Canis lupus familiaris: one gene and its partners. The protein of the gene in region 7 interacts with the protein of the main gene of each other region in a biochemical or structural test. Links are inferred from orthologs where the notes say so. Each region holds a gene or a part of one and is shown on either strand. Other genes may lie near its edges. The genes, in order: PARK7, UBE2Z, MFN1, CCNE1, MTOR, UBE2V1 and PRKN.

Region 1 (4,203 bases), on a different chromosome or scaffold from region 7:
AATGAAGTTATAACAGGAGGCAAAAGGGCCTTTGAGGCCAGATGAACACTGATGAAAGTGTCCCACCACCAAGCACAGGCAGCAGGAACTGCCAGCTTCCTTGAATACAGAGTCCTTGACTTCCCTGGGCTTATTATAGTGGGGAAGACATCCAAGGAAAGTAACTTCCTTAAAATAAGTCTGTGCTAACAGCCTGAAATATAATCAAAAGACATTTCAAGAACCTGATAGAGAAGCCATAGGAAGGAATAATTCCATGTATGGAGAACAAACCTCTTTTTTTGCATCTTCCAGACTGGCATCAGGACAAATGATGACGTCTCGGCTACACTGTACTGGGTCTTTCCCAGCCAGACCCGCAACGGTGACTTTAATCTAAGAGAAAGACGTCATCACATTTAACATTGAAACATAAATTTAGAGTAACATTTTCACAACTGCTGTTTTAAAATAACTTGGCAGGAAATACTGCAATGAAACCATGCTGACTTTATGCTACTAAGTTAGCTAAATATATTTAATAACTAGGTCTGTCCCAGTTTGTCTGGGACAGTCCTGATTTACAGATACTATCCTGGTCCCCTGCCTGGTTAGTGTCCTTTCTCCCACAAGCTTTCTGGTTTGGGCCAACATCCTGCTAATAATCCATCTTGCAAAGTTACTGTTGCTATTTAAATCTCATGGTATTTCCTTAAAATAGAAAGACAAGTTAGAACAATGAAATACTACTTTAGCTTGCAAAAAGTTAATAAAACCAAGAGCTAGTCCTGGAAAAATGGGGATTGTCCTACACTGCTGGTGGGCCCACACGCTGGTACTCTGGGGAGTCACTGGACAAAATCTGGTAATGCTAACTATGGGCTGTCCTTTGGCCAAGCAATTCCATTTTTGGGCATAAAAACCAGGAAAACCTCCCACACATTTGCATAAGGAAACCTGTACAAGAATATTAGAGTATTGCAATGTCCTGAAACACCCTAACAAAAGAATGGAGAGACAGCAGCATATTCATGCAACGTAACAATAAGCAGCAATTTTAAATTAAAAAACCAGATCTAGAGGTGTCTTCATTTACGAGAACCAGAGAGATGAAGGGCTAACAGACTCTGGGGCCAGACTGCTGGGGTCTAAGTACTGGCTCTTCTCCTCACTAAGACAACAACATGGACACTTCATGTAGTGTCCCTGTGCCTTAGTTTCTTCAACTGTACAACGAGGACGGTCAATAACTCATAAGGTTGTTATAGGACTTAAGCAAGTTCAGATGCTTAGATGAGCATCATCTAGCATCAGTCAATACTACTCGTGTTCACTAGGGATATATATGTACATATTATATATATATATTATATATATAGAGAGAGAGAGAGAGAAATAGATGTAACTGTAACTGTAAAATGTAATTGTAGTGTAACACTACTCTGAAGACATCCATGGGATGGATACACATTAATGAGAGAACAGAGTTATCCCTGCCGTTGAAGGGGAATAGTATCCAGGAAATTTACAAAGAGGGCTGTGCAATGCTTTATTTCTTTTTAAAGCATCTGTTCCTCAAGAAGAGGAATATTTACAAGAAATTTGGCAAAATGTTAACAAGTATTAAATGCGGACAATAGACAGGCATTTATTGTTATATAGTCTCTGCATTTTTGTGTTTGAAATATTTTATAAAGTACACTGAATATTATTAAAAATGCCTTCAAAACCCAAAAATGTTTGAGAAGGGGGAGGGCTGGAAAATGTTGGGAGGACTTACTCCAGCTCGTCTCATGACATCTACAGGAATGACTGTCTCCATCTCCTCTGCTCCTTTGGCCAGGATGACCAGAGCTCTTTTCGAAGCCATTTTTATGTTGTATTTTTAAAAGACTTAATTGGGAGAAGAAAAAAAAAAAAAACAAGATTTTCAAAACACTTGCATGGCAACCCTAAGATAGTCAAAAACCTCAAGTTTAAAAAAAATCTCAAGTTCAGGAACATTTTTAAGCAAAGTGACCAAGTGCCTCCTAAGGAAAAGATCCTGAGAGACAAAACAGTACGTGAAAAAAAGCATTTTAAGGTTAACAGTGGTTTACACAGAATTTCAACTGCTGTTATTTTTGAGATGAAAACACAGCAGGGTTGCTAACACGTGTCAGTACCGTTTGGATTTTCTCTGACCATGTTTTTTATTTTGTTTTGTTTTAACTCAATATACAAAACTTACTGCAACCAGTACTTTCTAAAACACACACACGTGGGTCTTGCATTTCACACGATGCGGGGAGATAAGCCTTATTCTCGGAAGCACTATTTTCAGAGAAACGTCCAAACTTAAATTTCATGGGCAAAAAGCTACACACAGTCTGCGATTTTTGGAGGGGATTTTCTTTGAAGTTCCAATAACTGCACAAAACCCTCTTGAAAGTTAACAGTGTTAAATATTTCACCATATATATATTTTTAAATGATGTCGAAAGGTGGGAATTCCCCCAGTAAATTCAACGCAACGGGACCCTCATTGCTCTTGGCTCTTCGGTAAACGGCAGCTGCCAAGCGGGGCTCCAATAGTTTGCAGCCTGTTCTTTCTGGGGAGTCCGCTGTGCGCGCAACACAGACGCTAAGGAAACCCCGTCAGCAAACAGAGCCCTGACGAGTTACAAACTGGGGGGACGCCACGCACACAACCCCGGAGGGCCCGAGGCCGCCCGCCCGCAGGCGCGGCGTGACTGCGACCTGCGGCGCCCCCTTCCGAAGCCCGCTCCGGGCTGCCCGTGGCCCCCTCGCCGCCCGCAGCTCCCCCCGCAGCGACCCGAACCTCGCCTCTGCCCACAGCCCCGGCACCTCGGCCCCGTCGGCAGCAACTCCGCGCCGGAGACTACCGAACCCAAACCGGCCTAAACGGGGACGTACGTGTGTACGCACGCACGCACGCCCCCCGAGCGCGAGCCCTCGGCGCCGCACTGCGCAGACGCACGCCGCCCGGCTTCTGGTTCGGCCCCGCCCCTCCCCCGGTACTGCGCAGACGCCCGTCGCGCAGACCCCTCCTCGTTCTCCCTTCGTCCCCAGGCCCTGCACTGCGCAGACGCACATCGCCCGGCTTCTCTTTCTGCTCGTTCGTTCCCCTAACCACGCCCCCCTCGGTACTGCGCAGACGCACGCCGCCCAGGCCCCGCCTCCTCCCCAGCTGCGCACGGCGGAGGCTGGTGGCGCTCGCTCACGTGCGTCACGTCCTCCCGGACCCACGTGGGTTAGCATCCTCCCTGGACAGCTGGGGATGTTTCCATTTGGTGCACCCGGCACCACGAGAATCCCGCGTGTTCGCGCAGCCTCACGAACGCTCCCGTCCCCCGTCGGCGCGGTCCGGCCCGCCGCTGGCGCCCACGGGCGTTAACCCGCCTGTGACCGCAGCCTGCCCGCGCGCGGTCCCCTCGGGAGCTGCGGCGCTTTGCTGCCAACAGACGTTTCCGTGGAGTTGCACCTTCACGCTTCTCCCGCACTCTCGGCGTCCCTATCCGGGAGCGCCTTCTCGTTTCCCCCCGACCTGTTAGGACTTCAAGGTTTTCCCCATCCTGGGTCCCCACGGTGGGCGCCCGGGCCTCGGGATCCTGCGCGGCTCCCAGCACGGGTTTGCGTGCGGTGATTGCCCGTGTGATGGTTTCTCAAAGTTGTTTTTTTCCCTAACATCCCAGCGCTGCTGCTGCTGCTGCACCCACAGGCTTAGAGCACTGCTGAGCACCCGGACCTGATAAGTACTTGGTGACATTTAAGTCAGAATCCCACACTTTGTTCTTAAAAGTTTGCATTGAATATTGATACTTTTACCCATTTCAAAAACCAAAGTCGGGCATCCCGGGCGGCTCAGCGGTTCAGCGCCGCCTTCAGCCCAGGGCCTGATCCTGGAGGCCGGGGATCGAGTCCCACGTCGGGCTCCCTGCATGGAGCCTGCTTCTCCCTCTGCCTGTGTCTCTGCCTCTCTCTGTGTGTGTCTTTCAGGAATAAATAAATCTTAAAAAAACAAAAACAAACAAAAAAAAAACCAAAGTGCTGAAAGTTAACGTTGAACCGATGGACTCCTTCCTATCCTTGTCCCCACTCTCTTCCACAATCCCCGCTCCCTGACTCCCTGCGGGTAACTTTATAGTCGTTTCCGGAGCATCTTTCCAGGATTTCCTCACGCAAGCACCAGCAAATACTTTGTTTTACATCTTTTGTATAGAA
Region 2 (3,500 bases), on a different chromosome or scaffold from region 7:
CATACTCCGGGAGTCAAGCCAACAATGTAAATTTTCATTACATTTCTTTTGTCAGGCAGCCCCAATCTTTTTTTCTAAGTAGGAAGGAAAGGACTGAGGCTGATGGAAGAGTCAACTAGGAACACATGGGAATTTTCTATCCTGTGAGTTCTTGTGGTTAATGTTCAATTTCAGGGTAGCTTATTTTCCACCCAAAACACTTCTGCTACTCCTACCCCGCCGTCTTACTTTCCCTGGTTCTACTGTGAGCTGATGTTTGCTCAAAATCGTTTTATACTGGCCCAATGGAGAACCTAGTACAAAAACGCTATCACAAACAAATGTCATGTAGAAACAACAAGTGAATATCCTCACCACTGTGGGCTATGTCTACCACTATCCTACCAGATAAAAACCCTAACAACATAAAGGACCGCTTTAAGGACAACCTCCTTTGAAGGACTTCCTCACTGCCACCACCACAGAACATGTCCCTGGGTCTGAGAGATTAAAAATATAAATAAATAAAATAACTCCTGTCTCCAGTTTGGGTCAGCTGCCTTTCCCCACACACACCTGGAAATATGCTGGACAGGAAAGAAAAAGGTATCACCAGTTCTGGCAACTCTCCCAACTTCAACCTGCACTTGTCCTCTGCCCCAGGGAAACTCAGACCACACAAACACCGCCAATCCAGAAGACACTGTTTCCATTCTGAATTTTTAGCCCCCAAAGGCAGTTAAAAGGGAGCGAGTGAGAACCGCATGAAGCAAAATCTCAGTAGCACCCAGAAACAAAATGTACTTGAAACTTGGATTTCTTATCTGATATGATTTCCAACCTTAGACGTTTTTCATTCAGTTGTTAAAATATCATGATCATCTTCATCACCACCGCCGCCTCCAAAGCCACTCATTGAGAGACTCAGAAACAAGACACCCACAATCTTAAATGGCACAGATCTGCAGCCTTTCTCAACCTGTTCAGGAGAGAATGAAGCCCTGATGCCCTAAGGGAGTGGTTCTCAAGCTGAAGTATGCGCCAGAAATCACCGGGAGAGCTTGTAAAACACAGATTGCTAAGCCCTCCCCTAGAGTTTCTGATACAGTACGTCTAGGGTGGACCCTCAGAATCTGTAGGGCTACAAGCTCTCCAAGTGCTGTTGCTGGTCAGGGAGAACCACTTCACTAAGGCATCCATTGTAGGTCATACATGAACTTCTCTCTTTTGCACTTAGAATGATACTAATCACGTACCATCCTGGGGAAAATTGAGGAAACAGTCACTCCAATCATTTTCTGGGTTCTGTGGTTCAGATGAGGAACCCCGGTTGATAAAGGCTGGCCTAGAGTAATTATTTGCTAACAACCAACTTGGCCACTTAGAAGTCTCCTCTTACCCTAGAATACTCAAGCAGACTTTCCCATTGCGGTAGAAGTTGGGGTTAAACCTCACTGTGTTATTGCCCGTTGTCATCAGTTTGACCCGAGGTGGGTGGATGGGATAGTCGGGCGGACACCGAAACACGAACAGGAAGAAACCCCCTTCATAAGGAGTGTCAAATGGGCCTGTGATCAATGCATGAATCTGCAAAATAAAACCCCATCTCAAAATTGTGAGGTGATGTCCCATCCCAACCCCTCCTGGCTTCCACTTGCTACCCACACCAGCAGCAGGACCTTCATCTAGTATATCATTCCATATCCTCACCATGCGGAATGAACAGCCTGTACTCACTCATACTAATAAATATGTTTGGAATTTTAAGAAATCCCATTACGGTGGAGTGGCATCTTACTCAGTGGTTAACGTCTAAAGTTAGAGCCCAAGATGAAAACTGAATGTAGTCAAAAATCACCCTGAATGTCCCTTAAAACTCCCTGTGACAGCATAGGTTTTTTTTTTTTTTTTTTAAGACTTCCCTGATCAGTGTTACATGTAACAAATATACATGGAACACCACTGCACCAACTAAAATATGCAACTGTAAAATATTATCCTAGCCCGTTTAGTTTTAAGAATCTAATATATACTTTTACTGAGCATGTCTGTTTGGATTTGCCTAGGTTAATCATGTGTCTGAGGCAACCCCACCCTCCATTTAGGAGGCACAAAGGGGAGTAAGATGAACGGAAAAGAGCAAAGGGATTGGCGGCCACAGTGCCAGTTTACAGTGCAGAGCTGAGGGTTGTGATGGAGGCCTAGGGTCTCTGTTGCCTCCACAAAGAAGCAAGCCTACTGTGGGAGGATGTAGCTCAGGCAGCAGTCAGCTGTGTCAAAGATACCAAAAAAAAAAACAAAAAACAAAAAACGGGGAAAACTCAGGGTCCATTTGGAGCCCTTAGACCATCACCAGAAATCTTCCCAACACTGTTGGTTAACTTAAAAAGAAAAAAAATCGGCAGCACTTAGAACACTCAACTTTTGTCCTCCAACCAGGATCACTGAACAAGCTTTCCCCTCCTGAAAGGAAGAGAACTTGAACTGACCCCGTTATATTTCTTCTCCTACAAAGGCTGCTAGCCACTTAAGTCTGCTCAGAATTTAAGCAGCAAGACGAAAAAGGACCAGCAATCCAATGCTTCAGTCCCTACTCTGCCCTTGGTGGCACCCAGGAATATCTTTCAGCCCTCAGGCATTTGGAATAGCAAGCTCAAATGGCATCAACAGGACATCAATTCTGGGACCCTAGGGACTAGCATATTAACACTGATACTTGACTGGACAAGATGTCCCAGGAAAAATATTTCTAACCACAAAAAAAAAAAAAAAAAAAAGAAAAAAATCAATTTAAGGGAAACTTATTCAAAACAAAATACACATATCTACACTACAAAGTCAGAACTTTTACCGTAAGAAATCTGAAACCATGGAAGAGTTTTCATTTAAACAATATTAGATTTAGGAAATCTTGATTTCTTCCCAACATTAGTTTAAGTGAAAAATTCACTTCTGAGGGTAGAGCGCTCAATGACAGAGAGGCCTAGGCATCTATGCCAGGGGAATTTCAGCCTTCTCTGTGTTTGTGTATGGAGGACAAGACAAGAATGGTCTTTGGAGTAGAAAGGACATTCAAAAGCAACCAGTTGGGCAGCCCCGGTGGCGCAGCGGTTTGGCGCCGCCTGCAGTCCGGGGCGTGATCCTGGAGACCTGGGATCGAGTCCCTCATCAGGCTCCCTGCATGGAGCCCACTTCTCCCTTTGCCTGTGTCTCTGCCTGTCTCTCTCTCTCTGAATGAATAAATAAATAAATAAATCTTTAAAACAAAACAAACAAACAAAAAAAGCAACCAGTTAGGGATGCCTGGGTGGCTCAGTGGTTGAGCCTCTGCCTTTGGCTCGGGACATGATCCTGGGGTTCTGGGATTGAGTCCCACATCGGGCTCCCTGTACGGAGCCTGCTTCTCCCTCCGCCTATGTCTCTGCCTCTCTCTCTCTGTGTCTCTCATGAATAAATAAATAAAATCTTAAAACAAAACAAAAAAACCCCACAAAAACAACCAGTTAGGGGATCCCTGAGTG
Region 3 (3,979 bases), on a different chromosome or scaffold from region 7:
TTACAATAAAATTCAAACTTTTGATCTTGGCTTATATGACTCTACACCTACCTACCTCTCTAATCTTCCCACATTTTCTCTCCCTCCCTGCATCCCAAATACGCTGGCCTTTTTATCATCCACCATACCACTCTCCTTCCTATAGGCCTTTAGACTTCCTGTTCCGTCTGTGTTGGGCATTCTTCCTCCACATAGTCCAAGGATTGGCTTCCTGAGAAAAATCAAAGAAATATCTCCCCAGAAAAGATCACCCTATGTGGTTCAGTTCTCATTTTTCTTCAGATAGTCTGTCCCCATTGTCATTTTTTCCTTTTTAGAGTACAAAGCACATGCGAAACGATCTCTTATTTCTTTTGTTTTCTTGATATTCATCGATTCTAATAGAAAGAACATCAGTATTTCTTTAATGTAGCTCTAACTGTATACCCAACAGTGTTATAAGCACTTCACACGCTATTGACCCGTTTAATTTTCACAACAACCCATAACGTAGGTATCATTAGAATGCCAGTTTGATAGATGAAGGGCCTGAGGGTCAGAAAGATGAAGTGACTTCTCTTGCTAAACTGTATCGCACTTATGAGCTCTGGAATGAAATCTCCAGACTCTCTATTAATTAAGCCACGTACAGAACAGCAGCAGCAGCAGCTCTTCAAGGATGCTAGAAATGCACGCTCTCAGGCCTCATCTCCGACCCAAAGAATCAGAATGCGCAGGTTAGCAAGATTCACAGGTCCTAGAAGTATAAAGTTCGAAGAACACTCAACAATGTATCATTTTCCTAAGTCTCGCTCTAAAGTAATTCAACGAGCGCACACGCGCGCACACACAGGGCTGTACTCCAATCCCAGGAAGCCAATCGCACAACAGAAGATAGTGGAGCGGCCAAAAGGTTCTCCTTTACTGGGGATCGTGGGGCAAACAGAAATCCCTTTTGTCTGGCAGCCCTAACCCCACCTCATCCCACTTCACCCCACCTCCTTTTAAGATCTCTCTCACTAAAGTGGGAGCTAACTATGCCTAAACCAGGCAAACGTCTGGAGACTGTGATGGGCGAAGAGACGGGAGGCAGACGTAAGCGATGGACGCAACCGCATCCCAGTAGCTTTCCCGAGGGTCAACCGGCCTCCTGCCCTTAAGAAAAATGGAGGTCGGCGTAGACGCACTTCCGGCCACGGAGCCAAACAAGCTCGGGGCGGAGAAGAAACCGGAAGTGACCGCCCCCTTGGCGCTCCTCCCACCTCCTCCCTGCTTCCCAGCGTCTCCCGGGAGGATGAGGAGGCCAGAAGGCTGAGGCTGGCCTGCGGTTGCCGGGTGACGGGTCGGAGCCGGGACGGTGTGAGTGCTCGCTGCGTCGGCCGCGGGCCGGTTCGCTTCGCTCGGGGTGACCTTCGTGCGGCCGGGGGCGGGGGCGGGGGGGCAGTCGTGCGCAGGAGTTCTGTGACGAGGCGCCGCCGCGGCGCTCCGGGAAAGGAGCTCCGAGCCGGTGTGCGAGCCCGGCCGGCGGCGGGGTCGAGCCCGCGGAGCCCGCGAGGCCGGAGCCCCGAGGCTGAGGAGCCTGTGCGGCGGGGCTGGCGCAGCCGGGGCGGCGGTGGGTCGGGTCCCTGGCTCTGCGGGGGGGCTCCGGCGCCGGGCGGCGGAGGCCTGTCCCCAAGGTGGGTAGGTGCCCACACGCGGTCCAGCCGGGCCCTTGCCCTCACCCTGCTCTTCCCACCCGGCTCGTTCACCGAGTCCTTTCCTGACACTCCGAAAGGCTCGGCCTTTTTTAATGACCGCTCCGCTCCATGCCACATGCGTACGCACCGGGTGTAGACTGGCGTGTAATCGTTTTTTTTTTTTTGGGGGGGGGGGTGTCTTTTCCATGAGAAGTTGCCAGAAAATAATTTTTTCCCCCTAAACTTAACATTCTTTAAAGTTCTTGGCACTTTGGCTGGAAGCGTTAATTCTCGCCTCAAGCCTTGTCTGCTTATTTGTTCGGATGAGAACTACTTTCCTTTTTAAACTTCGGTATTAACATGATGATCCTGGAACTTTATTTCCTCAGTCTCTGTATGCACCTCCACCCACTAGAGCTCCAGGTTGAGAAACTTCTTGGCGAACTTGCTTCTGCTCGCTGACCCAGTTCTTAAGCGTCCTGTGCTGTCGCAGTTTGCCACGATGAGTTTCATCTTCACCAAAGGAAGATAAAGTAGAAATTGCAAACAGGATTTTGTCCAATAGAGTTGACTTATTTTAATGGAGTACCACCGGAAAAGTTGTCTTTAATTGCCCGTCTAAAACACTTCTCAAAAAACAATTATCTGAAAGTATGTTGGCCGTTTAAGTTTATTTCACTGGGGAGTTAATTTGGCAGGCAGCTGTCATTAATTTGCATGTCTTTATCATACAGTCTAACTTGTGCTTTTCTTTTTTCAACTTTTTTTTTTTTTAATTTTAAGGGCAGGGAGAGGAAGAATCTTTTTTTTTTTTTTTCTTTTTAAGATTTTATTTATTCATGGGAGACACAGAGACACAGGCAGAAGAAGCAGGCTCCATGCAGGGAGCCCGACGTGGGACTCCACCCTGGGTCTCCAGGATCACGCCCTGGGCGGAAGGCGGCGCTAAACCGCTCAGCCACCTGGGCTGCCCCCAAGAGGAAGAATCTTAAGCAGATTTCCCCCTGAGCATGGAGCCTGACTCCGGGCTGGATTTCAGGACCCTGAAATCAGAACCTGAGTGGGAACCAAGAGTCAGATGCCCAACCATCTGTGCCACCCAGGCACCCCTAATTCGTGCTTTTCTAACTTTAATTTTCTTCCCCCAGTAACAATGGCAGAATCTGCTTCTCCACTGAAGCACTTTGTGCTGGCTAAGAGGGCAATTACTGCAATCTTTGACCAGTTACTGGAGTTTGTTACTGAAGGATCCCATTTTGTTGAAGGTTAGTTTCTCCAAGTCTTAAAAATAATAAGGTTGAAAATATATGCAGGGGCTTTATCCTTTCACCCGTAGTTACTGAACTTATGCATTCAGTGTAACGCGTTCAGTATATAAGGCATTGCAGTATATTCCAGGAGAGATGCCCTAACAAATAAAACCCATTTCTGCCTTCCGACGGAGGAAGACTAAATGGTATTAATAACCTAAGAAATAAATGGTTGTATGAACGATAGCACTAAGCACTTCGTTAATTATGCATGTAATCCTCATATCCACGCTGGGACAGATTTTAATTGCAGTTATTTTAAAGGTGAAACCAAGGCACAGAAAATTTAAGCATCATGCTTGTGATCAGTTAATGCCCGGACTAAAAAATCAGGCAGCCCACATTTAAGCCATTATACATTATCTCCTCCCCGAGTCAGCAGTCAGCTTAGATCGCAGACCTATCTTATCTTCTCAAATGAGGCTGGAATGTGGTGGGGAAAGGGCAAAAGGGAGTGTAACTGCTCAGACTGTGTTGGTGAGGAATATCTTACTGGGGAAATACTACTTTGGAGGCAACTTGAAATCTTTTCTGGTTCTTAATATCACATGACTATTAATGGTACAGTGAAAAGGGAGGGATTCTGTAAACTTCTAAAGTGACAGTGGGGAAACATTCGGTAGGTTAGTAGAGTCAAACATTTTTTCTTGTCCTTCCTAACCGTACCTCACCAGATTTTTAGCTTGAGGATAGCCCCTGTAATTTTTTAATAATTTTGAAATTTTGGGGGCAGGATTCTTACGACCCCCTTATGGAACAAGGCATTCACCTTTTACCAAATATTCAGATAACTGTGGCATTTTTACTTTTCAAATGGCCATGTGAATATAGAGCAAAGCCAAAATACGTGCATAGTCTTAGATATTCTATTGTATAATCAATTTAATACTCATTTTTTATCACTTTTTCTAACACCATTTTAATTTTGTAGCAACATACAGGAATCCAGAACTTGATCAAATAGCTACTGAAGATGATTTGATAGAAATACAGGGTTATAAAAACAAGCTTTCC
Region 4 (3,500 bases), about 72 Mb from region 7:
CAATTTAATTAAAGACCAAATATCAATATTTACAGTTCAGTGGAAAAGAGAACTTTTGTAATTATTTGAACTTGGAAGAAAAAAAATTAAATGCCAACCTCAAAATATCTAAGAGGTAAAGAGACTTCAGAAATTCTTCTACGGAAGAACCCAAGCAAAAGAGTGGTACTTTGGAGACACAGAAAAGTGTCAATGGGGTATAAGACACACAAAGAGGTCGTCAAAGGTTCTAGAAGTGGTCAATGCTTCCAGTCGACAGGAAGACTCAAGCTCACCTCCATCAACCAATCCAGAAGAATTGCTCGCATCTTGGGCTGCAGGAGGGGGTGCCGCTGCATAAAGTGCTTATCCCGTAAGTATGTCTTTTCCTTATTTAGCATAATTTTCCAGACCTCGTCTCTATTTGCCCAGCTACAAGAAACAAAACCAAGCGAAAGACAAGAAGTAGGCGTCAGTATGCGTCCACACTGACTTGGTGAGATTGTGCACAAGGAGCAAAAGACCTGGAAGGCACGTGGCAGGCAACTTACTTCAGTAGAGGCAGCGGCGAGGCTCTGGAGGGCATGAAGCTCTGCGGTCCACACACGGAACTTGGGTATGCTGGCTCATCCTCTTCTTTGTCAGGTGTGGGAATCAAGGAGCAGGGGTTTTCACATGCGGGATTATTGTCCCAAGGCTGTAGAAGAAAACACACATTCTTAAATGTTTGATAGGAACCAGCTATGTGTACATTCATGATTTGTAGAACAGCCAGTAAAACAGAAAATATCTTCACACTAGAGAGCAATCTCCAGGCCTAAATACCTATTCTGGCCTAAATGAGGATGAAGATGGAACGAGTAAGTAAAAGCCACAGTAAGGACTCCAAGCTTTCGTTTCACTTGCCACTGGCTTAGGAGTCTATGCAGTAAGTATCTAAGACGACTACAAAGTCAGTAGCATTTTATCCTCCACACTGTCGCCGTCAAACCAGTACCTGAGCAGGAAGATGGACCCAGGAGGGATTAAGACAAAATGCAAACAGCTCTTAGGAGTACAAAAACCGACACCACCACCACCTATACAAATCCACCTGCAGCTCGGTAAGAAACTGGGCATAACCTCTGAGGTATGCTGTGGGATTATTTGGTCACAACTCAAAGATTTGTTTTTTTTTAACAGGTACAACTAATCTACCAAAACTTCTTAAAAGTGAAAGAATTCCAATAAAAGTATATTTACATGCGCACCGCACATTCACAAGCGTAAAGACCAAAAATGTAAATTACCATCTGTATTTAGTGTCCCCATCTTAAGACGTAAAACCATCAAATGTGACATCTCCTGGTTGCAAGACTACCTAATATATTACATAACGAGGACCTTTTGTTTTCCTTAACTCAAAACAAAACAAAAAGAATATCTGCCTAGTTAAAACCAAATCCAGGAATGGTCACAGGATATACTAAGAAGTCCGTGGAGATAGAAGCCAGATACCCCTGAAGACCTTTGAATCCTGCCCCCAAAGTCTTGCATGGAATGAGGATCCAAGAACTGATAAGGGAATAAACCATCATTAAAAACGCAAACAATATGCTTTCCTTTCAAAGATTCTAGGTACTTAATTTTATTCGATTTTCAGTATTTGGAAAATAAGAAGGTCCTTTTGCCATTTACAAAGTTTTCTTTGTCAAGCTGCTCTGTTTTTTTTTTTTTTTTTTTTTTTTTTTGAGTCGTAAGAGTGGTTTTGTGGACAGTGCGGCAAGTAACAATCCCGCCAGCACGGAAGTCCTGTGGAAGTCTGAGACTCTTGGCCTTTTGTTTTAAAGCAGACAGTTCATTAAGGCTGACCAGAGAAGAAATGGGACAATTAGAAATGAGCATGGGATGTGGGCTCCAGGTGCTGCCTGGAGGATACGGTAGTGGGGCGCGCACAGCACACCGGCCACTTTCAGAGGCGGCCAGAGCACTTTCAGTGTGCTGAGGAGAGCAAAGCAGGATAAAGCTCTTCTCCACCCAGGGTGCAAAGAATTGGGCATGCAAATTAACCATGACAACTCCTGCCAACAGCTGTTCCAGAAGGGCAACCTCCCCTTCCAGCTCTAGTCTCATGTGCTGGTAGCATTTCCTTGACTCAAAACGAGTCACATTACAACTGCTTCAAGCTGCTCTTCATTCGAGAATGAATTCTAGCTGTGAAGGCAGAAGCTGGGTGCCACCCTCTACAGCCAGATGGCTGAAAGGGCTGAGAGCAGCCTTTGAGGATAAAATGGCAGCAGTTCCTAAACCACAGTGCATAGACAGACTGGATGACCCACAAGCCACAAGTGGTTCGGAAACCTGGACCCTTTAGGATCCAGCACGTGAGGCACAATAATGAAGTCGAAGTCTCGAGTGTACGCTGGGTTTCAAAGAGGCCAGATCCATCTGACTTTAGGAAGGACCGGGATAAGAGCAAGACACCAATTTTGACTATTTCTAAACACCCCCGACCCCTCATGCCACTTTTAACTAAGAACAGAACTACCTATGTAGAATCAGGTGCTGAGAAGTAACTACTACAAAGTCCAGGATTTCACTTCAATTAAAAAGGTGGGTCTCCTGCAAAAAGTTAAACAACAAAACGGATATGCTGAATGGATTTCAGATAAAAGGGTAGTCTTTTGATTAGGAAAGGCCTAAGGTAACACTCAAAGGTTCTCTGTGTCCTGAGGAAGGAGTTATAAGGAGTTTAGCACAATGCGCCACAAGTAGCTCCAGGCCACTGTACTGGGCTGAACTAGAACTCCTGACAAAAATTCCGTGTGATAATTGTGTTACCCCAAACTTCTAGCTTCATGAATCTACACAGGGGAAAACCAGAACGAGTGCTCCATAGATAGATGGGCAATCTTCAAGCTATCTGCTCTACAAAACGTACAGAAACCTGTTGTCCTTAATCTCTGAACAACCAGGAAAATTCCTTCTCGTTAGTGGGAAATGATAGGAGTATTTAAATACCACGGCTATCAATGTGCACACTTTGGGGACAGGCCCACAGCCCGATTTTAGGCACCCTAGCACTGCTCCGGTCCTCCTCGAGAACAAACTACTCCAACAAGTGGATATGGATGCCTTCGCTTCACTCTCAGAAATTTCAATTCCCAAAACAGCTGGGAAAATAAGCAATCCCGAGTTTCACAAAGTGGAGAGCCATTTTACCACGGCTCATAAAAATCAACCTGCTTAAAGTTTGTTTGCTTTTTGTTTTTTCAAGGAGAAGAAAAGAAAAGAAAGGAATGTCTTATTTCCTTCCCTAAAGGAAAGTATTTCTTCATCTAATGAGAAAGAAATCATCAACCCCTTGTTCGATATTAGGTCGATCTCCCCAGAATTGCTAATTTCTAGGGTCTACGTGCAGGGACGACAACTATTCCTGCACACCCACTGCTTCAAAGCCCTTCACTCTGCCAGAACCAGCTGCCACAGCTGTTGCTCAGTGCCCAACACAGCGACGTGCTGCCCACTGCTAACCTAGTTGG
Region 5 (3,500 bases), on a different chromosome or scaffold from region 7:
CAGCCAAGCCAAGCCTAGAACGCCGGTCTCCAATGCCACAGTCAGAGCTGTCTTTGTGGGACAAGCTTCTTGGTTAGGTTTTCTTGGCAGCAGCAATTGGCACAGGGCTTATGACACTGAAGGAGAGAGAACCAGCCCTTTCTAAATCAGTATCACTATGTTGCTGCTTCTCCGATACCCACTTTTCTATATTTTAATATCTCTGCGAACTCTTACAATTGTTCATAAGAAAGCAGTAAGTTATAGCTTAACTGTATCATATTTTCATTTTTTTTTTAAAGATTTTATTTATTTGGGCAGCCCCAGTGGCGCAGCAGTTTAGCGCCGCCTGCAGCCCAGGGCGTGATCCTGGAGACCCTGGATCAAGTCCCACGTCAGGCTCCCTGCATGGAGCCTGCCTTCTCCCTCTGCCTGTGTCTCTGCCTCTCTCTCTCTCTCTCTCTCTGCCTATCATAAATAAATAAATCTTTAAAAAAAGAAAAAAGAAAGAAATCACTGGAGACCAATGCGACTGTGACACTCGCTCTGTGGCAAGGGCCCCCACTTCAGCCAGGTAATTCTGTCTGTGAATGTGCTTTTGCAGGTGGATGGGATCGCGGCATGTGCTCACCCGATACCACTGAGGCTTCTGCATCTCCTTCGGCTCACGCTGGGTGGTGAGGATCAAACAGGCACGAAGGGCAGCCACAGCTCCCTCACGGATGGCCTGTTTGGGGTCCCATACAGCCACAAAAATGTTGTCAAAGAAGGGTTGCACTTGCTGGAAGAAGAAGGTGGGGACGCTGACAGCCAGCTCACGGAGAACTAGAACCTGGGAGGAAAAAGCACACGGAGGACCCTCATCTGTATCAGAGAGTTTAGCTCTATCCCAATATGGCCTCTTGTTGTCCCGGGGCGTGTATATGTATCAGGAAAAGAGCACACTTGTCCACCCTTCCAGCTAGGAATCTCTGAGGACCTAGGAGTAAAGCAAAATTGATCAAACATCTGTGTTCGTTACACTGGAGTATTTATAAACACGGGATGCTTGTCATCTTAGGACATAAGCTCTGGAAGGCAGATGTGTTTTAGACTTTGTATGCTGCCCTGCTGACAGCCGAAAAGCATCGCCAGAACACGGCAGTATCCAACAAACATTTATTGAATGAATGTTCAATATTTAATCTTGCTTTCGTGTTCATCTGACAGTGGAAGAAACTAGAGGTCAGAGGTTGTTTCAAGCTTCAGACTTAGGAAGGACAAAGCTGACTTGAAGCAGACTTCAGGTGTCTATCGCTCCCCCAGTACTGGGACCCCTCCTTGTGGGGCTGGCTCCTAAAGAGGGGGCCCACAGCAAAGATCCAAATGACGCTCTGATCCTCAGCACACACATTCCCAGATCCTTTCCCTTAAGGACAGACTCTCCCTCATCTTGCAGCCTGAAAGTCTGTCCCTCAAACCAGCCTTTTCCAGGGATGAACCTCAAAAAGCAGTGGGGATATTGGGGTTCCTGGGTGGCTCGGGTGACTAAGTCTCTCTTGATCTCATCTCAGGTCTTGATCTCAGGGTCGTGGGTTCAAGCCTACAATGGGCTCCATATTGGGTGTGGAGCCTACTTAAAAACAAAACAAAAAAACCAAAGCAGTAGAGATGCACTACAAGAAGAGGATAAGAGGCTCCTACATCCCCAAGTGAAAAACAGCCAATGGGGAAAAAGGAAGTTTGGGTTAGGTACCAACCAATCAACAAATGCCTAAAAAACAGACAAAAAGGGCGCCTGGGTGGTGCAGTTGATTAAGCATCAGGCTCTTGGTTTCGGCTCAGGTGCTGATCTCAGGGTCCTACGGCTGAGCCCTGCCACTGGCTCCACACTCAGCACAGAGTTGACTTAAGCCTTTTCTCATTCTCCCTCCAGCAAGCCTCCTACGCTCACACATATTCTCTCTCTCTCTCTCTCAAATCAATAAATAAATTTAAACAAATAAGTAAAAAAATAAATAAGGAAGGCCTGAAAGGAGGCAGGCCACTGCTTCCACTGGAGGAACTGAAGGCCCTGCTGCCCCGCGCCTCCCCTCCTCCTCGTCCTTCTGTATTCCTTCAGTACCGTACAGAGACCTTGACGAAGACACTGATGGGAAAGTACAGAGCGGACAGTTGTCTGGGGCTTTGGAAGCCTTTTGGCTCGCGGCTCTTTCCCTTGCCTATGGCTGAGGTGTGCCTTCTGTTTAGGAGGCAATTTTGATTCTAGAAAATTAGACATCAAGGTAAGCGCTGCACTTAGGGCTGCCTCTCAAGCAACAAAAGAGAACTTAAAGTTTGCCCTTCAGGTTCGGAGCTCAGGGCAAAAAGAGAAAGGGATTCAGGACGAAACCAAAGGCCCCTGAGAAGCACAGTGCCTTTGCCTGGAGTGTCCCCTCCTTTGTCTGCCTTTCAGCGACCTGAGCCATTGTGTGGAGGACCCCGACACGGCGCCACGGCTCCCCAGCCAGCTGTGCCCCCCACACCCTCACCCCCGCCACAGGCACTCACAGCTGCGTGTCTCCGGCCCTCGTTGCGGTCGGCGCCCAGCCACTCCAAGGCTCGCTTCACCTCAAACTCCACATACTCAGCCGTAAAAGTGTCCCCTGCCATGGCAAGGCGGCCAATGGCCTTGGATGCCATCTCCATTACAACTGGGTCATTAGAGGGGAGGAGGTTCCGAAGATAGTTAGCGAATCTGCCAATCCGAGTGGCATTCCCACCTTCCACTCCTATGAGGCTGGCTGGTTAAGAGAGGAAGGCAAAAGGTGAGGATAGGCACATCCTGTCTAGGAGCGTGCCCTGCCCTGAAAGGAAGGCTGGCAAATGACCCCTTCCTTCTACCCTGAGCACAGAAGGCAACTCCCAGATGGGAAGGATGCAGATAATTTTCACTTAAAAGCAACAGATTTGATATTTGTGCCAGAACTACTTACGTAAAGCAAAATAACCTCATTTTGGTACTTAAAATTTGTTTTCCCAAGAAGAAAAAGGAAGCAAACTAAGAATGAATAAGAATTCACCAGACCAGTCCCTGGGACTTGAAAACCACATGCTTTTTATCACTGTTCCCACCTCTCCCTTTCCATTGGTGAGCCCGGCTGGCTATACCAGACTGCTCTACAGAGACACCAGAGCCTGCAACAAGCAACACAGGGTAGCAGAAAGAAAGCTGGCTTTGAGTCTCAGCGCAGCCACTCTGTGGCCCTAGAAAAGCTGTGTCACAGTTCTGAGACTCTGTATCTGAAAATACCAGCTTTGCCCACATCCCAGGACTGTTGTTAGAATTAATATCTGAATAAGCACGCTGAAAGCCACAAGCCTCCTTAAGAAATTCCTTAAATAGGCAAGAATGAAGCATCGGTATGCAGCAGACACAGGTGCAGTGGACACAAAGGTGACCCACCCTTTATTCTCAGCTGTAACTGTCAGCAGAGACTCTGTCCTTACCTATGGCCAAGATGCCACCTTTCCTTTCATTGGCATCTGAGCTGGAAACCAGT
Region 6 (3,500 bases), on a different chromosome or scaffold from region 7:
ACTCCTCTGTTCAGAACTCCAGTGGCTTCTCAGGTCAGTAGTAGTTGGAGTCCTTAACGACCCACTGCTCTTCCATCTCACTGACTCAGTTTTAGCTGAATTAGGATCTTGCTGTTCTTTGACATCCCAGGCAAAGTCTTACCCAAGGGTCTTAGCATTTGCTGTTTCTTCATTGGAAGACCCCCCTGAGCTGTGCATAGGTCATGCTCCTTCATGTGAGGTCTTAGTCATGACATCTGGTCTCAGTAAGGCTTTCTGTGATCACTCCATTTAATGTTGTAGCTCTTCCCCCATTACTCCCTGCTCCAGAACTCCCAACAGCTGTCCTCCTATATATATATAGTTCGTATTTTTGTTTTGTCATTTTATGTTTCCCACTAGAAGGTAAGCTCCATGAGGACAGGCATTTTTGTTTTGTTCACTGCTTATTCCCCATTGCCTAGGAAAGTGCCTGACCTATAGTGGATTCTCGGGTATTTACTCCAGTTGAATGAATAGTAGCGGGAGTCCCACCTTAGAAAACACAAGGTATACTGGGAACACCTCCCAGTCTGGAGTCTCTCCAGTGGGTTTTCCTCCACGGTTACGTGGTAAGTGCTGCTCGCTTCATGGAGTTTGGCCAGTTGGGGGCTCAGCATTGAAGGCAAGAGAGAGCTTGTAACTTGTCTGAATCTGAGGGGTTTTTTCCCCCAGAGGTAATAGTTCAAATGCCAGGGAGGGAGGTGGGAGGAGGGGAGAGGCAGGCAGGATTGGTTGGGAGAGCATCCCTGGGAGAGTTACTTGGTGCCCAAGCACAGGAAGAAAATTGCTCTCCCTGCCCTCCCACAGCCTCGTCCCCTACCTGGCCCCAATGCCTCGGCTCTGTTCTGGAAAACACCCAGAAATGGCTCAAGCCTCAATCTGAACTCAGGTATAGTAGCTTGAACCTATGAGATGTGTTTGTGTGATTCCTTCCGTGAGCTACTTGCCAGGCTTTGGAATTTCAGAAACAAGTAAATCAGGGAACCAGCCACCCTCCTTTGGCTTTTTCATAAGAGAGAAACTGTTTTGAATAGTTGAAAATTTTATCCTTGGTGCCTTCAGTTGACTCTTAGCTGATCAAAAGGACACCATTTTTATTTTATGCAGCCCTGGCGGCTGTTCCTCCTGAGGTAGTTTGAGTGTCATTCCAACAAAATGCACACACACCCTTAACCTCAGAAATGTGTAATAAGAATGAAACAAAAGCAGTAGCCTCTTCTCTCCTGAGGCACTTAATCCTCATGATACCGATTTTGGTGGTTTTCATCTGTTCTGGACCCAAACTGATCAACATTTTGACATGTAAACTCTTGAAATTTATCAAAGCTGCGGGGCCGGGGGGTGGTGGTGGTCCTTCTAGGCTTGGTTCAGTGGTCACATCACCTGAAACAAAACCACGTGCCCCTTCCGTGTGGGTGTGCTGGTCGGTACTAGAAGCTCTGTAAGCAAGTTGGAGGGATGACAACTTTGAGCCATTTTTTGCATGTTAGCATCTTTATTTCCACGTAGTAATAATGAGCAGCTAGATCCAGGCTTACAGGTTCCCCTGGAGTTGCTAGTATCTTGAATTTCTTTCCATTTATTTTAGGAGTAAAAGTCCCTCGCAATTTTCGACTGTTGGAAGAACTGGAAGAAGGCCAGAAAGGAGTAGGAGATGGCACAGTTAGCTGGGGTCTAGAAGATGACGAAGACATGACACTTACAAGATGGACAGGGATGATAATTGGGCCTCCAAGAGTAAGCGTCGAGCTACGGCTATAAATGTCAATGTCTTAAATTCACTGTGCCTCCTTTTAAGAAATATTAGCCTTATCACGGAAAAAGCTCACCAATGGTATATTTTCTGAAATGTGGCTATTCTTTTTTGACCAGTTTCAGTTTATATATTTGAACCTCCTCTGATGCTGTTTAATCCCTCTCATGGTAAGCAAAAACCTGTTTAGACTCATAGTGTGAATTTACATAACATGTAGACAGGGAGGTGTGAGGTCATTACACCCTCACGGCTAGTTTAGAACAGACTCTTGGGCTTATCAAATAACAAGGCCCCAGATACAGTAGCCAGCGTTCCGAAGACAGCATCCAAACAAACTTTGGAACGCCTTCATGGTTGTGGTTTTCATTTACAGTTTCCCAGGTCTGCCACACACTCATGTCCTAATTCATCAGGCCATTCAGCAAAGGCTTATTGCCTGCCTGGTTGGCTCTGGTCTCTTCCAGGCACTATGAGACCCAGAGGCCTTTGCAAAGAAGACAGAGACAACAGGGATGAGAAAATTGACCTCTCTTTTAGAGCTTTGTGATTTGTGAGAGTTCCCAGGCTTTGTAGTACCAGCTAACTTTTTAGTGTACATAGTAAAACCTCCAAGAAATGTCATTGAATTCTCACAAGAACCTGTTGTTAAGAGCTACTATTGTGTTGTCACATCCAATTTTACAGGTGACAAAACAGAGAAGTAAAATTACTTGCCCAAAGTCACATAGCTGATAATTCCCAAAGGGGTTCTGAGTCTAGACCCTGTACTCTTAACCCTATGCTCCATTATCTCCTGTCTGTTTAGATTTTGAGTTTTCATGTGTTCCCATTATAGAATTTTCCAGAGTGTTAAGTAGTAATATGAGGTAGGAGTGAAGAAATAGATTCTCATAATGTGACACTTGTTTCAGACCATGGGAGATTCCGTCTGAATGTAACAGGACCTTTCCTGTGTGTGCTCAAAGATGGTGGCAGCCAGTCATTCTTTTCACTGTGTGCACAGGCTCTGCACCAACTCTGTGGGAAGGAGAAAGACATAGGATGTGGCCCTGGCTGAAACAAGGAAGAGGGTCATGTTCATTAGGTGTTAGGACAATCTACCGTTCATCTTGGACTATCGTAAATACACACAGTGAATGACTGGCTTTGCTATTTAACGTTGCTTCTTGAGTCATCTTTAACCCTGTGGTTTTGTTTTTTGGGTTTAAAAATATATATATTCAATTTACTGTTTTTTACTCATTTCTTTATCTTTTTAAAAAATCTCTGAAAACTAGGATTTATAAATCTATTAAATACTGAAGAAAACCTGATATAGAAAACTCGTTTCTTCATGGAGATCATTTCTTGCTGTTTCTGAAAGCCCACTGTATGGTGATGGCTTCCTTCACTGCATTTCTTCTTTTCCTAAGAATGGTTAGGTTTCTTGAGGGTGAAAACTATTCTTCCCTCCTCCTTGCTCTCCAGAGCACCTGGAAATGACTCGGAATGGGGCAGTTGTTCAATAGATTTGTTCATTAGCGGACTGATTTTCAGGTTCTAACAAATTAAGAATGGACCAGTGTACAACATTGCGAATACACTAAATACCACTGAATTATACACTTAAACAAATGAGCCACCAAATTCCATTGAAAATATTCTGTTCTACCTACAACACCTTAGGTTACCCTGCGTTTCAGTTTAACTCTTTCCACAGGGGGCTTGCTTAGTGAGTGGCTAC
Region 7 (3,139 bases):
ATTCCTAGAAACTTTGTGTTTCTTTAGGGTATTTCCTGTGGTGTTTGGCACCAATGGGCCCTCATGGTGTGTGGCTTTCCTAATCTATGGATAGGAGCTCTCCAAGAATGTTCCATTCCAGATTGCTCAAACACAGGCTCATTGTCACTCATTTCAGCCACTGAAACAGTTCTAAAGAAATGCAGTGTCAACACACCCACGTTGAGAGCAATGCAAAGTCACTGAGCTTTTCTGAAATGACATTACAGAGAAAATCCTTGTAGTTTTTCCTGACTCAAACTTCTGTTTTAAACATTTACTAGAAAAGTTTGCTGATAAAGCAGGAAAGTAACAGTTAGATTTTTTTAATTGAATGGTTTGCTTTTTAGATAAAAATGCCTGTTGCCTCACCAGGCGATCCCTTCAGGCAAGAGGGAGGCTCCTGGAGCGAGGTGTCCTGGGCTTCCCTCCCACACTTTGAGCATTTACTGAAAATCTACCCTCAGAGATGGACTCCAAAGCTCTTTTGATGCTTTTATTGATAATTTGAGTACAGCCTTAGACATAGTTGTCAAATATTCCTTTACACATTTCAGAGAAAAATAAAGATTTTTCTGCAAAGATTTTATTTCTATTCTTTTGATATATTCACATTTGGTTACACATTTCATGTTCAAACGTGTTCATTTATAGTGGTTTGTGATTCCCATTCATTTACAGAGGCTGTTTTTTTCTTAACTTGTTTCAGTGTTCTAGTCTGAAAAAAGAAAAGAAAAGAAAGAAAAGAGAAGAAAAGAAAAGAAAAAAGAAAAAAAGAAAAGAAAAGAAAAGAAAAGAAAAGAAAAAAAGAAAAGAAAGAAAAGAAAAGAAAAGAAAAGAAAAGAAAAGAAAAGAAAAGAAAAGAAAAGAAAAGAAAAAAGACCACCACCAGGAAAGGAGCAGAGAGCCCCAGAAATTTCTATCATGCCTGAACCCATGAGAGCAAACCTTGTTTGGGTTTCACGCACCCAACACAACATGCCGGTTTGGAGGGAAGCAATCACGACAGCATCACTAAACCCAAAAGTTATACTGAATATAAAATAGTGGGTGTTCCATATGGCAGGGAGCCATCTGATTTGTCCTGTCAGGTCAGTGTCAGAAGCTATTTGCTGGGATTGTCAGTAATGCTCAGATATTGGCTCTCCGTTCCCTTGCTATGATCTTTAAGGCTTCCTGACATGAGTCTGGATTTTCTAAACAGAGCCTAGAAGAATGGTTAGGGATAGAGGGACAGACATTCTCAGGCAATATTCTAAGGTCCTTACCTCTCCTTCCCCAGCAAGGATTTCTGGTGCTATGTCTACAAAGAGAAGCCCCGAAAAGACAGACAATGAGAACAGAAGATGGTGGTTATAGGTTTTCATCTGTACACTGTGCTATAAGAAGATGAGGTTTGCTGCATAGTGTAAACACATCTTTTTTTGATGTGTTGTGAATGTCTAAAAAAAAAAAAAAAGATGAAAACTTGGTGAACACTCCATTTGAATCCATGTCAATGTGAGGAAATATTCTAGTGTGACTCCACTGTTCTAGAGAAGAGCTCCTCTTGGAGGAACCCATTCAGGGAGCAGAGCCCCTGGGGCATGCAGATGGGGGACAGAGCAGGTGCAGAAAGAGCACTGACCCCCCTGGGATAGAATCGGTCTTGGTTTCATTTTGCCAGCCCTCGCCATGCTCCTGCTTTAAAGACTTCTGCACTTAACACCCTGCACTTTTGTTAACGTTGAGAATCATTATAAAGCCATTTCCAAAAACGTCTCCTCTATAGGCACCTTACCCATTAAATGTACAGTGAAGCCAGATATACTAGCTTGTTCTTCCAAGCTGCAAAATGAAGGTTTAAAATCAAATTATAGACTTTGTAATACTTTCAGAAAAACAATTTCTTTCTGAGGTCTCAAATAATTAAATGGAATGAAAGCACACGAAGTTTTGATTTCTATAATTTCAACATTCAAATTAACTTTCATAATTTCTCACTAGTTGACAAGCTGATTTATGCATAGTTGATATTACACCGATGCAATATATAAAGGTAGAATCCTTAGGGATAAACACAGAGTTTGACTATTGCCTGGGGTTCTCTTTGGGAACAGATACTCTCTGAAAATTTAAATAAGAGCATTGCTCCTAAAATCAGGAATAGGGTTGTCGAACCCGTTGCCCTCGGTTTTACAGAGAACCCCCGAAACCGGTCTCTCCAATCTATTTCGTCCCTGATGGCCTCTTCCCAATCTTCGCTGAAGGTCAAATGCAGGAAATGAAACCTGAGAAATCTTTCTGTCCTTAAATCCAGCCTGACTGGAATTCACAGGAGAATGGCAATCCATACAAAAGGTGGAGTGCACTTTCCATCTGCGCTCTGGGGTCTGTGTATTGAGGGCTGACGCCTGAGAATACTTCGCGCTGCTTTTCATGAGCACCAAGGAAGGGATCCAGGAGCTTCTCCTGTAACTTTGTTTTTGTGGATTGGGAAGGGATTTGAGGGGTGCGTGCGTGTCTCTGTGTGTGTGTGTGTGTGCATGTGGCGGAGGGGGGGAGAGAAAGAGAGAGAGTTTGGAGAAAGAGCAGCAAATTGTGGGACTCTGTACATTTCCAAGTTGGCTGGCGGTGGGGCGCCCGCTCGCAGGGCTACACGTCGAACCAGTGGTCCCCCATGCAGGTCCGGTTCCACTCACAGCTGCAGGTCCAGCACCACTCCAGCTGGCACTGGGGCTGTGGGCACTTCATGTGCATGCATCCTCCTGCAGGCAGACAAAAGACACGGGCAAACATCTGGAGAACATCCTTCCCGCCCCAACACACTGGTCTAAGAAAGGACTTTCCAAGGGAATGTCACCCACAATCCCAGGGCATTCTGAAGTTAGGGCATCTATTAAGAAAGGAGTGAGGGTAGAGCTCACCACTCCCATCTAGGACAAATTCTATATAAATAAATAAGTTAAATATTTTATTAATATATAAATATACATACAAATATATATAAATATATAAATATAAATAAATTTATATATTTATAATATTTATATATTATATATAATGTATATCTTTTATATATATAAATATATATTATTTATTCATGAGAGACAGAGAGGGAGAGAGAGAGAGGCAGAGGCAC

What was found.
Region 1: the proteins of PRKN (region 7) and PARK7 form a complex in vitro, tested with the Homo sapiens proteins (2 studies listed by BioGRID, with this or other methods). The link is inferred for Canis lupus familiaris from reciprocal best matches to the Homo sapiens genes PRKN and PARK7.
Region 2: the proteins of PRKN (region 7) and UBE2Z form a complex in vitro, tested with the Homo sapiens proteins (2 studies listed by BioGRID). The link is inferred for Canis lupus familiaris from reciprocal best matches to the Homo sapiens genes PRKN and UBE2Z.
Region 3: of the proteins of PRKN (region 7) and MFN1, one has a biochemical effect on the other in vitro, tested with the Homo sapiens proteins (3 studies listed by BioGRID). The link is inferred for Canis lupus familiaris from reciprocal best matches to the Homo sapiens genes PRKN and MFN1.
Region 4: of the proteins of PRKN (region 7) and CCNE1, one has a biochemical effect on the other in vitro, tested with the Homo sapiens proteins (2 studies listed by BioGRID). The link is inferred for Canis lupus familiaris from reciprocal best matches to the Homo sapiens genes PRKN and CCNE1.
Region 5: of the proteins of PRKN (region 7) and MTOR, one has a biochemical effect on the other in vitro, tested with the Homo sapiens proteins (2 studies listed by BioGRID). The link is inferred for Canis lupus familiaris from reciprocal best matches to the Homo sapiens genes PRKN and MTOR.
Region 6: the proteins of PRKN (region 7) and UBE2V1 form a complex in vitro, tested with the Homo sapiens proteins (4 studies listed by BioGRID). The link is inferred for Canis lupus familiaris from reciprocal best matches to the Homo sapiens genes PRKN and UBE2V1.

The regions. Positions count from the first base shown.
Region 1 is NC_049226.1:62,058,891-62,063,093, reverse strand, and holds the start of PARK7 (Parkinson disease protein 7), read right to left. Parts: upstream 2,801-4,203; intron 1,873-2,800; 5' UTR 1,850-1,872; coding exon 1,760-1,849; intron 376-1,759; coding exon 274-375; intron 1-273. UniProt on the Homo sapiens protein: Multifunctional protein with controversial molecular function which plays an important role in cell protection against oxidative stress and cell death acting as oxidative stress sensor and redox-sensitive chaperone and protease.
Region 2 is NC_049230.1:25,087,709-25,091,208, reverse strand, and holds part of UBE2Z (ubiquitin-conjugating enzyme E2 Z), read right to left. Parts: intron 1,567-3,500; coding exon 1,379-1,566; intron 1-1,378. UniProt on the Homo sapiens protein: Catalyzes the covalent attachment of ubiquitin to other proteins. Specific substrate for UBA6, not charged with ubiquitin by UBE1. May be involved in apoptosis regulation.
Region 3 is NC_049255.1:12,955,818-12,959,796, forward strand, and holds the start of MFN1 (mitofusin-1), read left to right. Parts: upstream 1-1,179; 5' UTR 1,180-1,338; intron 1,339-1,636; exon of another isoform or gene 1,637-1,655; intron 1,656-2,059; exon of another isoform or gene 2,060-2,306; intron 2,307-2,803; 5' UTR 2,804-2,808; coding exon 2,809-2,920; intron 2,921-3,896; coding exon 3,897-3,979. UniProt on the Homo sapiens protein: Mitochondrial outer membrane GTPase that mediates mitochondrial clustering and fusion. Membrane clustering requires GTPase activity. It may involve a major rearrangement of the coiled coil domains.
Region 4 is NC_049222.1:122,573,046-122,576,545, forward strand, and holds part of CCNE1 (G1/S-specific cyclin-E1), read right to left. Parts: intron 677-3,500; coding exon 531-676; intron 412-530; coding exon 276-411; intron 1-275. UniProt on the Homo sapiens protein: Essential for the control of the cell cycle at the G1/S (start) transition.
Region 5 is NC_049223.1:84,296,674-84,300,173, reverse strand, and holds part of MTOR (serine/threonine-protein kinase mTOR), read right to left. Parts: coding exon 3,448-3,500; intron 2,742-3,447; coding exon 2,509-2,741; intron 812-2,508; coding exon 611-811; intron 1-610. UniProt on the Homo sapiens protein: Serine/threonine protein kinase which is a central regulator of cellular metabolism, growth and survival in response to hormones, growth factors, nutrients, energy and stress signals.
Region 6 is NC_049245.1:37,205,139-37,208,638, reverse strand, and holds part of UBE2V1 (ubiquitin-conjugating enzyme E2 variant 1), read left to right. Parts: intron 1-1,609; coding exon 1,610-1,758; intron 1,759-3,500. UniProt on the Homo sapiens protein: Has no ubiquitin ligase activity on its own. The UBE2V1-UBE2N heterodimer catalyzes the synthesis of non-canonical poly-ubiquitin chains that are linked through Lys-63.
Region 7 is NC_049222.1:50,440,298-50,443,436, forward strand, and holds the end of PRKN (E3 ubiquitin-protein ligase parkin), read right to left. Parts: intron 2,766-3,139; coding exon 2,653-2,765; 3' UTR 501-2,652; downstream 1-500. UniProt on the Homo sapiens protein: Functions within a multiprotein E3 ubiquitin ligase complex, catalyzing the covalent attachment of ubiquitin moieties onto substrate proteins. Substrates include SYT11 and VDAC1.